Linked DNA regions of Alligator mississippiensis. The protein of the gene in region 3 interacts with the protein of the main gene of each other region in a pairwise test. Links are inferred from orthologs where the notes say so. Each region holds a gene or a part of one and is shown on either strand. Other genes may lie near its edges.

What was found.
Region 1: the proteins of SAXO1 (region 3) and STK16 interact in binary tests that used the Homo sapiens proteins (3 or more experiments, as listed by UniProt). The two-hybrid records come from large-scale screens. The link is inferred for Alligator mississippiensis from reciprocal best matches to the Homo sapiens genes SAXO1 and STK16.
Region 2: the proteins of SAXO1 (region 3) and FHL3 interact in binary tests that used the Homo sapiens proteins (3 or more experiments, as listed by UniProt). The two-hybrid records come from large-scale screens. The link is inferred for Alligator mississippiensis from reciprocal best matches to the Homo sapiens genes SAXO1 and FHL3.

What each region holds. Positions count from the first base shown.
Region 1 is NC_081827.1:254,253,653-254,257,395, forward strand, and holds STK16 (serine/threonine-protein kinase 16), read left to right. Parts: upstream 1-1,240; 5' UTR 1,241-1,369; coding exon 1,370-1,455; intron 1,456-1,548; coding exon 1,549-1,768; intron 1,769-1,851; coding exon 1,852-1,985; intron 1,986-2,071; coding exon 2,072-2,192; intron 2,193-2,312; coding exon 2,313-2,408; intron 2,409-2,486; coding exon of another isoform or gene 2,487-2,608; intron 2,609-2,692; coding exon 2,693-3,049; 3' UTR 3,050-3,250; downstream 3,251-3,743. Other genes in the region: GLB1L (beta-galactosidase-1-like protein), read right to left, coding at 1-33, 208-358, 437-600, 680-739. UniProt on the Homo sapiens protein: Membrane-associated protein kinase that phosphorylates on serine and threonine residues. In vitro substrates include DRG1, ENO1 and EIF4EBP1. Also autophosphorylates. May be involved in secretory vesicle trafficking or intracellular signaling.
Region 2 is NC_081829.1:1,230,625-1,234,367, reverse strand, and holds the start of FHL3 (four and a half LIM domains protein 3), read left to right. Parts: upstream 1-1,194; 5' UTR 1,195-1,442; intron 1,443-1,744; 5' UTR 1,745-1,798; coding exon 1,799-1,835; intron 1,836-1,899; exon of another isoform or gene 1,900-2,664; coding exon of another isoform or gene 2,665-2,671; intron 2,672-3,743. UniProt on the Homo sapiens protein: Recruited by SOX15 to FOXK1 promoters where it acts as a transcriptional coactivator of FOXK1.
Region 3 is NC_081826.1:178,423,791-178,427,533, forward strand, and holds the start of SAXO1 (stabilizer of axonemal microtubules 1), read left to right. Parts: upstream 1-1,325; coding exon 1,326-1,479; intron 1,480-3,743. UniProt on the Homo sapiens protein: May play a role in the regulation of cilium length. Stabilizes microtubules at low temperature.

The DNA.
Region 1 (3,743 bases), on a different chromosome or scaffold from region 3:
CGGCTTCCACAGCAGCCAGGCAGGGAGCCCGCCCTGGGGACACGCGGCCGTCAGGGCTGAGGCAGGGGCTGGGCCGGGCGCTGGTCCTGCCTCGGACCCCGCAGCGCCGACACGTCAGGATGCAGCCCCCCCCCCCCAAACGCCCCCACCCCCAGTGCCCTTGGCAGCCCCCGGGGGGGCCGGTGGAGGGGCGGGGGGGGGCCGCACCATCTCCCACTCGGCGCAGATGTAGGGCCCCGGGCGCAGGATCACCAGCAGCTCCAGCTCCGCTGTCAGGTCCAGGAAGGCCTCCAGGTCCCGGTCCCCGGAGAAGTCGTAGAGGCCGGGCAGCGCCTCGTGGTAGTTCCAGGGCACGTAGCTGGGGGAAGCGGGGCGCGGGCGGGGGTCAGCGCCTGGCGTGGCCCCGGCCCGGCCCCCGCAGACCCCGGGCACTTACACCTGCACGGCGCTGAGGCCGCTCATGTACATCTTGAGGAGCCGGTCGCGCCAGGCGGGCCGCGGCACGCGGGCGTAGTGCAGGCTGCCCGCCACGTAGCGGAAGGGCGCCCCATCCCTGCGGAAGCAGTCGCCCGCGTAGTCCACCTCGAAGGAGCGGGCCGCCTGCGGGCACAGCGGACGCTGGGCAGGGGGCTGGGGGCCGGGGCCCGCCCTGCCCCATCCCAGCCCCCCCAGCACTCACCCCCAGCGCCGGGGGCGCGTCGAGGAGCAGCGGCAGAAGCAGGAGCGGGAGCAGGGCCATGGTGCGGGCGGCAGGTCACATGCCAGCTGCTCCTCCGCCGCGGCCCCTGCTCCCAGCGGCCCCTGCCTGCGAGGGAGGGCGCGGCTCAGCCACGACCCACCCACCGCCCACTGGGGGCCGCACGCACGGGGCCCGCGGGCCGCACCCCCGCCACGCCTTGGGGGCTCCACCTGCCTGGGAGGACCCGCCCCGCCCCGCCCCGCCCCGCACCCCCTCCACTGGGGATACCGCAGCCACGCCCCCAAGCTCCGCCCCCTCAGCCCCTCCAGGGGACCCCGCAGCCCCGCCCTCTCAAACCCTCCACTGGGGGCCCCCCCTCCCCTCCCCCACGGCCCCGCCCCTCCCAAGCCCCGCCCCCCTCAGCCCCTCCACTGGGGACCCCACAGCCCTGCCTCCCCGCCCCCTCCCCAACCCCGCCCCTCCCTTACAGCTCCGCCCTCTCCTCCCTCCCCAAGCCCCGCCCCCTCCCCTCCCCTCCCCTCCCCTCCCGCCCCTCGCGGCGGTTGCTAAGGCGCGGGCGCGGCGCTGTGACGCAGGTCGCGGGGGGATGACGTGAGCGCGGGTCGTGCTTCCGGGTGCGGCGCTGCGGAGCCGGGGCCGGTGACCCCTGACCCCAGGCCCGGGCCCGCCATGGGGCAGGCGCTGTGCCCGTGCCCGCGCGGCACCGTCAGCCTGGCGGGGGCGCGCTACGTGGTGCTGCAGCGCCTGGGCGAGGGGTGAGCGCGGGGGTCACGCGGGGCGGGGGGGGCGCGGGGGGCAGGCCCGCGGCGGCGCCCCGTGACACGCGGCGGGGGGGGTGTGCCCCGCAGGGGGTCGAGCTACGTGGAGCTGGTGGAGGGGCTGCGGGACGGGCGGGCGCACGCGCTGAAGCGCATCGTGTGCCACGACGCGGAGGCGAGCGGGGCGGCGCTGCGCGAGGTGGAGATGCACCGGCTGCTCGCCCACCCCCACGTGCTGCGCCTCGAGGCCCACGGCCTGGTGGACAAGGGCGCCACGCGCGAGGCCTGGCTGCTGCTGCCCTTCTTCGAGGTGAGGCGGGCGGCCCGGGGCCGGGCCGGGCCGGGGCGCGGGGCCTGGCCGCCGGGTAACGAGGGCCCGCGTCTCCCCGGCAGCGCGGGACGCTGTGGAGCGAGGTGGAGGCGCTGCGGGACAAAGGCGCCTTCATGGGCGAGGAGCGGATCGTGCTGGTGCTGCGCGGGATCTGCCGCGGGCTGGAGGCCATCCACGCCAAGGGCTACGCCCACCGGTGAGCGCCACGCCACGCCCTGCCACGCCCCGGCCCCGCCCACAGGGCCGCCCGTGACGCCCGCCCGCCTGCCTCTCCCGCCGCAGGGACCTCAAACCCACCAACGTGCTGCTGGGGGACGACGACCAGCCCGTGCTGATGGACCTGGGCTCCGTGAACCAGGCCCGCATCGAGGTCCGCAGCTCCCGCGAGGCCATGGCTGTGCAGGTGCCGGAGGGGGGCTCCTGGCAGCCGGGGGGAGGGCACCGGGGCCGCAGCCGTGCCGGACGGTGCCGCGGAGCCAGGCCCCACCCCCACCGCCCGGCTCAGCCTGTCCTCTGCCCCCAGGACTGGGCGGCGCAGCACTGCACCATCTCGTACCGGGCGCCCGAGCTCTTCACCGTGGACAGTCAGTGCGTCATCGACGAGCGGACGGACGTCTGGGTAAGGGGCCCACCCCCGGCTGGGGGGCGGGTCGAGGGCGCCGGGGCCGAGGCCGGGGCTGACCGGGCCGCCCTGCAGTCCCTAGGCTGCGTGCTCTACTGCATGATGTTCGGGGAGGGCCCCTACGACATGGTCTTCCAGAAGGGAGACAGCGTGGCCCTGGCCGTCCAGAACCCCGTGGCGGTGCCGCCGCACGCGAGGTGAGGAGCCGGTGCGGCCCCTGGGGGGGGAGCTGTAGCGGGGCTGGTCGCTGCCCTGCTGCTCACCCGCGCTCTGCCCGGCAGGTACTCGCCCGCCCTGGAGCAGCTGCTGCGCTCCATGATGGCGGTGAACCCCCAGGAGCGGCCGTACGTCGCCCACATCCTGGACCAGCTGGAGGGGCTGCAGCCAGCACCGCCGGGCCAGGACACCACCCGCATCTGAGCCCTGCAGCCCTGCCTCCCCCCCCCCCGGGGTGGGTTTCGAAACACGGTGTTAGCACAGCCATGCCCCCTGCTCCCATTGGGCGAGCACAGCTGCTCGCCGTGGAGGCCGCAGGCTCACAGCCTCCCCTGGGAGGGCCTGGCTGCCCCGAGCTTGCTTGTGCGGGGCTGGGGGCAGTGCCCACGGCGCAGCCTCAAGGGGCCCTTGCCCAGCTATAGTGGTCTCATGCACGGAGCGGGGTGGGAGCGAGGCAGCGATGGGCTCGGTGTCACCGGTGCCGGCTGGGCAGAGCCCAACCTCACTGGGCACCAAGCGGTCACATTCCTGCTGGCGCAGGCGCATGGCCCAGCCCGCCGGATGCTGCCTGGAGCTTGTGTCTATTCACGTGTCCATCCAGTAAAGCTTCTTTACAGAAAAAAGCATTCCTGGTCCGTGGGGCTGGGGGGAGCACGAAGCCAGGGGAGATGGGAGCACAAGTTAACACTGCCCCAGCTAGGGTGGGGCCGAGGTCTGGCCAGTGGTTAAATGCAAACGCAGGGCCCAGGCCCAGCTGCGCCAGGAGCTGCTCAGCGCCTGCCCCACAGAGGGAGGGGCCTCTGGCCGCTCCAAGTGCAGGCCGGGACCTGGCACTGGCCCTGCTCAGCCAAGCACAGGCAGCAGCTCCGGGCACGGAGCCAAGGGCCCCGGGGCAGGGCCCTGCCTGCCACACACTGGAGCTGAAAGCCCTGCTGCCTTCCCTCTCCCAGGCAGAGCTGTGGGGCTGTGCTCCACCCCGCAGCCGTGGCAGGCCCAGGGAGAAGAGCAGGCCCAGGGTGGCATCCGCGCGAGGCAGGCAGGGTCCCGTCTCCCCTCGCCGCCGGTCCAGTGTTACACAGCTGGCTACGCCCAGCCCCAGGGCAAGGGAGGCGGGCG
Region 2 (3,743 bases), on a different chromosome or scaffold from region 3:
TCCCGTTTCTAATCCACACTGTCCCGCTGGCCGGCACGTACGCGTGGGAAGGCCAGTTGCTCCGTCCACTTAATGAGGAGCGTAAAGGTTAGGGAGGAAAGTGTCCGGACTTCCACGCTCTAGCTCTTCCCCGCACCCTCGAGCTCCTAGTTGTGAGACGAGAAACTTCTGCTTGTCACGAGCTATTCGAAGTCGGCAGCGCGGTCTGCCGCGGGAGCTCAGCGAGGGGAAGGGGTTTGCAGGATCCGCCAGCTAGCCCTTCCATCGCGAGCAATGACAGAAACAGCATCCCCTGAAACGCAAGGCTGGCTCTGGCTAATGGATCGTTGTACGGATTTGAGGAATTAGATCCGCGCCATTCGATAGCTCCGGCCGGGAGGGTTGCAGAAGCATTGTCCGCTAGCGCCCTTGCAGGGCTGGCAGAAGCAGCTCTTGGGGTTGTGTTTTTCAAGTAAACTGAGCCCAAGATCCCGGTTTTTGTTGGGTTGAAGTCTCGTGGGCCCGGGAATCCCTTCCAGCTGCTGCGGATGTTTGTCAGAGCTGGCGCATCCCATGCACAGATGTGGCCCCTAAAATATGGCAGCTGTGAGGGCGCGAGAGAGCCCGGCCGTTTACCCTGACGTGTACACACGGCTTTGCTGGCTGGGGTGTGTTTGCCCGGGCCGCTAGAGCTCCCCTAAACCGGCTCCGCTCGCAGCTCCTCGTCCGGGGAGAGGAGTGACTGGTCAGCCTCTCCTCGGCACCCCTTTGAGAGCCAGCGTGGGCTTGAGTAATGCTAATCGACTTAACCGGGGAAACAGTCCCAGCTGCTCAGAGCGGAGCCCCCGGTTTCCATCCTAGCCCCCTGCTTTCTGTGGGTTTTAGCTGCGGTCATGAAAATCCTTTCCAGGCGGAGCCTGGCTCCTGAGGTCTCCCCGAGGGTTTAAAAAAAAAATGCAAAATGCAAATTGCAAAAACAGTTGGCAGCTATTCCTGGAGGAGCACCGGGTTACGGGTCTCCCCTCTTCCTGCAGCTTCAAAGCAGCCTCCATGGGGTAGGACCAGGCTCCCGAGGAGGATTTCCCCCCTGGGTGCTGGGCGCATTGGAAGTAAAGCTGTTTCTGTTCTGGTTCAGCGGCAGGCGTGGGCCCTGCCCTTCTGGCGGGGGCAGGATGCATGTGTTAACTCCGCCTGGGAGCCTGCTGCTTGGCAGGGGAGGAGCCTGCCTGGTTTTGGGGCTCTTCCGAGGAAACAAAAGAAATTGCATGAAGTGCAAAATGCATCGTAACTCGAGGGTCTGATTGCGACGGGCCGGAGCCAAGAAATTCCTCCCAGGGGGTCACAAGCCGTTGTGCTGCGCCAGGGCTTTCACACGCAGCGCTCTGGGAGAGGGAAGAGCAGGGGAGTGTCCTGGGTGGAAATGCTCTGGTCTTGTCGGCACTTGAAAGTTAACCTGGAGTAAGGTAGGGTGTGAATTTAACTTCTGCGGCTGTTCCCAGCGTGCCTCGTCGGTGTGAAGCTTGCCCCGCTCTAGCAGCGGGACAAGGCGGAGGGACGTCTGGTCTCGCTGCGGCCGGAGGAGCCTAATTCTACACGCCCGTGTCCCTCCTTGCTTGCCCCGCTTCTCCTTGCAAAGCGGGGTGCCTCTGGGGACCTTCAGGGTGCAGGCCTGGGGTGCATTCGCAAGGAGACGCGGAGCAAGGGAGGGAGGACTCTGGCAGGGCTGGGTCTGCGGTGCATCCTTGCCTGTGTATTCCCCGGACAGGGACCGAGAGACTCGCTGCCTCGTGTCACCGGCGTGAGCCGTGGCAGCCTGGAGATGACGGACTGCCCTGCTGCGCGGAGGTGCCGCGAGGGTGAGTGGCTCGGTGTGCGTGAAGCAACATAACCGTCGGGGAGGTGATGCACAACCGGACCCACAGAATATGTGTGTGTGGTCTTTGGTGGGCGATGGGATGGAGAAGTCCCTTTCCTACTGGAGAAGCCACTCCTCCTTCGAGAGCTGCCCTTACCCATGCCTCGGTCCTGGAGGGACGGGCGAGCATGTGGCCGTCCGTGCTAGCACTCGCTGCATAGAAATCCACCCCAAAAACACCCACCCGTATCATGAGCGGCTGCCGCCGACTCAGGAAACACGGTGGTACCAAGAGATACGGCTCGGAGGGTCCCTTCAGAGAGTGCCGGGCCAGGTGGGATTATTGCGGCCTTTATTAAAGAGGAGCGTGCAACGTGGTCCGAGCAAGCCTGGCCGCGTGACGCAGGCTTGCCGACCCAAGCAGGTCCCGTCAGCCGCAGCGGGGTTTGCTTCGGCAGGATTGGGGTCAGTAGGAGGGTGGCTCTCGGTGTGCCCAGAAACGCGCTCTCTGCCCCGTGGCCGGGGCCAGGGCCACGTGTGCCTCCTGTGCACATGCAGAGTACCTTGAGTGGCAAGAGCCCAGGCTCCAGCCCCGTGTGATGAAACCTGAACCTCTGTCGGAAACGCTACTCCTGCGCTGATGTCAGCCCCCGGTTTATGATGCGACTGCTTTTGTTTCTGGGTGAGCACTTCAGTGTTTTGCTGGTGCGCCGGGATTGACTGGGGCACCGTCTCCCAGCACACCTGCTGCAGCCGACTCCAGCGCGGCTGCCTCCCCGGGACAGGCGGGCTTCCCTTTGCTTTCCTTGCCGATCCCCCCGCAGCCAGCCATGCAAGGTAACTTTCTGCTTTGGGCAAGGGAGTGCTCAGTAGGGCTCGGGCAGCCTGGGGCAGTCTCTTTACCCAAAACTCGTTTTGGGTTTGGCTTGGTGGGGGGCACAGCGGGACTCTGGGCTCCCATCGCTCGCCGTGTTGCACAGACGGTCTTGGAAACTCTTTTCATCTCATGCACGGTTGCACCGGGTGCTTATCTGTGCACACACAAGGTGTTCGCCGCGTCTGGGAGGTCAGCCCCTCTGCCCACCGTGCTGGCTGGCTGGGTCGCAGCTAGTTAAAATCCTGTCCTGCGGCGTGCCACTGTCATCTGCTCCGTGCACGCTTCCCGGGCGCCTTTGCCTGCAGCCCCGTAAGCTCACCTGAGCTTCTTGGTTGCTGCTGAATGAGGATGCAATGCTGGAAATGGGCATCAGGCTGCAGGGCAGGGGCTCCCGGGCTTCGGAAACATCGTGGTTGCATCTGCCCGGGGCCCAGAGAGAGGCAGAAAGCTGCCGTGCCAGGAGAGCTGTTGGAGAGATGAAGAGGCAGTGTGAGCTCCCAGGGCTTTACCCCCTGGAGTCCTTGCTGGGGGCTGTCCTGCCCAGGACAGGTGCCCGAGGTGCGGGTAGCAGGGGCACTAGCCCTGTGAGGTTCGGTAGCATTTGGGGGGCAGGTTGTGGGGAGCTAATGCAGCCCCTTGCTGCTGGGGGAGACGCCTCTGTTCTGGGCACACCGGTCCTCTCGCCCTCGGGCTGACAGCCCTTTCTCGCGTGCCAGCGGCACGGCCCCGCTGCATGCTGGAGCACACAGGCTTCTTGCACACTTCCCAGACTTTTGCTCAGCTGTTTTATTGCCTATAATGCTCTATGTGGAGCACGCTGCCACTGCCTTAAAACGCTGGGTATGTAAGAAAAGAGGGGAAACGCTGCGGCAGAGCAGAGCAGAGCGGCTTGCAAATGGCCAGATCTAGACCGTGGCAGTAATTCACTCCAGATGGGTCTGCTGTAAAGTGGCTGCAGCCCTGCGCTGGAAGGGAAGAAAGCCTCTCCCTGCACACAGTGCTCCGGGGCCATCTCTACTCTCGCTTCCCAAC
Region 3 (3,743 bases):
GCCCTGCTCTCTGGAGCAGATGGCACAGACCAGCCCAGGACTAAAAAGCATGCTGGGTGGCCTCTGATTTAACTTGAACCAGCAAGAGGTCTGGGACAGAAGTTTCATAAACCAGTTTGACCCAAATCAGTTAAGTCCAATACTACATTCAACCAGGTTTATCTTAAACCAGTTTCAGTCATTTTGATACTGGTCTACGTGCACTGAGCTTCTGTTCTGACAGGCTTAAACCAGTTTCTGATCACTTAAACTGGTTTAGTGTAACTTCTGTCCTTAGCCCTGCAGTGCAAAACAAGAAGTTTTATTGGGCTAAAGTCCAGGAAAAATGCATATTCTTGAGCACCATTTGCTTGTAGTTTGTTAACAAACTGCTCATGTATATGTATATAGAGAGCACCCTTGTAACAATGTGTATGTGTACACATAGGGTGCGTCCAGATGAGTGCACATGTGTGGCATGTGGTGCTGCACGGTGGCACACACTGCACGCGCTGCATACATCCCCAGGGAAATGCATGTTCCTGCTCATGGAGATGTGCCCATAGGGTGCATCTACATGAGCTATTATTGTGGTTCAATAAAGTATGGCACAGTTCATGCCAGAATCATCTGCTTCTGGTCTCAGTCTTCACCTGCGCCCAGGACCACAGGAGTTTAAGCCAGGTTGGAGCAGCCAGCTTGGGTGGTCAGCCTCAGACTCCAGGTGGTGGCATCAGGCAGTGGAGGGGCACAAGAGTGCCAAAACTGTGGACCAGTACAGATGATCCCCAGAGCCTGCTGCTAGCCCAGGGCTGCTCTGTCTTGGCTCAAACTGCTGCAGTCCCAGTCACTATCCACATGTGCATTTCTGTGCAGCAAAGAGCTCTGCTATAGGATAGTACTATCTTACAGCCAAGTTAATTAATTAATTTACTGTACCTTAATACTGGCACATGTAGACAGTGATGCTTTATTGCAGAGCTAATTGGTCATCTCCTCAGTAAAGTACACATGTAGATGCACTCGGAGAAAAGCAACATACTAGTACCGGTCCCTGGGCACATTCTGACCCAACTTTAGTGTTGTGCTTAATTTGGAAGAAAAAAATCATGAAGGAACATAAACCAGCATCATGATATAAATCATAGTTCTTACAATTAGTTTTATGGTGATGTTCAAAAGAAAAATCTGGAGTTGTTGCAGAAAGGCCTTATTGCACAACAGTCAGTTTTTAAAAAGGTTGTTCAAGGCAGTGACGTTTCTTCATTATCCAGCTACATTGTACATAACAAAGAGGGATAAACCTCCTTACTGACAGTGAGTTCTTCAAAGACTATGCAGAAAATATGGATATATTTTGCCCAGAAAAAGAGTCTGTTAGTAGTCAGGTCAGCTTCTCTAAAATGATGGTGTCATGCAGAGTTGAAGACATTGGTGATGATCTTAAACTACAGCTTCAAGATGTTGCTGACAATTTTGTGGCATATTCAGTCACTTCAGGTAAGAGTACCAATGTTACAGGTACTTCTCAGATCCTTATTTTCTATTAGTGGAGTTGAGAAGACTTTCAAATACACAAAAACGTCCTTTGGCTTGAAAGACTGAAGCAGAAGAGGAAACGGGTTTAATGCAGTGTTCTCTTCATTTATGTAAATAATATAAAGTGGGTATCTCTCACTGGTGTCACTACAGATGGTGCCCTATCCATGTTGAGGCAAAGGATTGTGGACTAAAGCAGAAAGTTATTGAATAACACAATGTAGCCACAATTTTTGGTATCACCACAATGCCTACCTATCAAGAAGCTATTTTTGCTCAGGTTCTCAGGGTGGACCATTTCATGAACATTGCTGTAATATATGTGTGAACTTCATCCCATCTAGAGGCCTCATTCACCAGCATTTTAAAGCTGTGGGTGACCGAGCTTGGGATCCAGGAAAGGGGCCGGCTGGGTTGTAGCCACAAACCCGGCACTTGCTACCGCTGGAGTAGAATTAGGCACAAACGCATACTGGTTCAAACAAAGATGGCTTTTACTTACACTGTCACGATGTACAGCATAGGAAGAAGGTTAACTTCAAACTCCAACTTCTGTTACAATCAAACCAAGGAGCTCTTATAAGACGAGATATCTTTAACCTGGGTCTGAACTCGAGCATGCAGGACACGGGGGTATGTCGGGGGAGGTCGTCAATGGGGAGTCGTCGGTGGGTGATCAGACCGCCAGGTTCCACTCTGAGACGAGCACGGAGTTCTCCAACCTGGGCGGAAATGACTCCAACCCTTTATACGACTAGCGAGCCAATTGCCAGCCGCCACGTAGGAATAATTTGAAACCGGCCAATTAGAGTATGCACATTTGCATATGAGTGGCGGGAACTTTTCCACGCCAGGGCTCTCCACCGTGCCGAGAATTCCCCTGTCTCGCCGTGCCTTGTGCTAGAAAGTTCCACTGTACCAAGGCACTCAACTGATCAGTTCTGACATGCCCCCTTGCCGACGGTACAGCTGGAATTTGAAGCACATGCACGCCGTCTAACTCGTCACTCCTCTCGAGGGGTAACCGGCTATATACAAAAACATACAACGAAAAAAGTTCGTCCTCAACGGATCGAATCAAATAGTAACCAATACAAACACAAACACACGTAAGTACATTGGTTACAAAAAGTTCAATCACGAGGAGTTCAGTAGGTGTCATGGCAAAGTCGCATGTCAGACCTCTGCGTCTTCTCTTCCTCTCTCTGGGTCCGCCTCTGACATGTATCTTGAACCTCGAACAAAAAAAACTGCAAAGAAAGCATTCTTTGAACAATTAATTAACTTATATTACACTATTTATATGGAGTCGCACGCATAATGGGACAGCTAATCAAATCCCCTTTGCGGCTTCCCACTCTCTCCCAAGCACACGAAACAAGTGCTTGGACACGATTCAGCTCTGGACGATTCTCGCACACCCGCAGATGCACCGTCATGAATGATGATCCACAAGCGGACGCCGCGTGATCTTGTCCGTGCTCAGTGAGACGAGTCTTCTTCTTCCCCTTTCAGCGAAAGATAGCCGCTGACAAACCTTTCACCTATTCCGCCCGCCTGGTGATAGGCGATGTGGGCGCCTAGCTCCACAGCATTCGACACGTGGTGTCTCCCACTGTGCCAGGGACAGCTTCTAACTAACTCTAACTCCATCGGGTCTTCCCCAAATCCCGATTCCGATCCTGATCCTGTTAATCCTGATCCTGTTCGTGACGCCATGTGGGTGACCGAGCTTGGGATCTGGGAAAGGGGCCGGCTGGGTTGTAGCCTCAAACCCAGCACGTAGATGGGTACTTGCAACCGCTGGAGTAGAATTAGGCACAAACGCGTACTGGTTCAAACAAAGATGGCTTTACTTACACTGTCATGATGTACAGCGTAGGAAGAAGGTTAACTTTAAACTCCAACTTCTGTTACAATCAAACTGAGGAGCTCTTATAAGATGAGATATCTTTAAACCGGGTCTGAACTCGAGCATGCAGGACACGGGCGTGTGTCGGGGGGGGGGGGGTCATCGACGGGGAGTCATTGGCGGGTGATCAGACCACCAGGTTCCGCTCCGAGACGAGCACGGAGTTCTCCAACCCGGGCAGAAACGACTCCAACCCTTTATACGGCTAGCGAGCCAATTGCCAGCCGCCACATAGGAATAATTTGAAACTGGCCAATTAGAGTATGCGCATTTGCATATGAGCGGCGGGAACTTTTCCACACCGGGGCTCTCC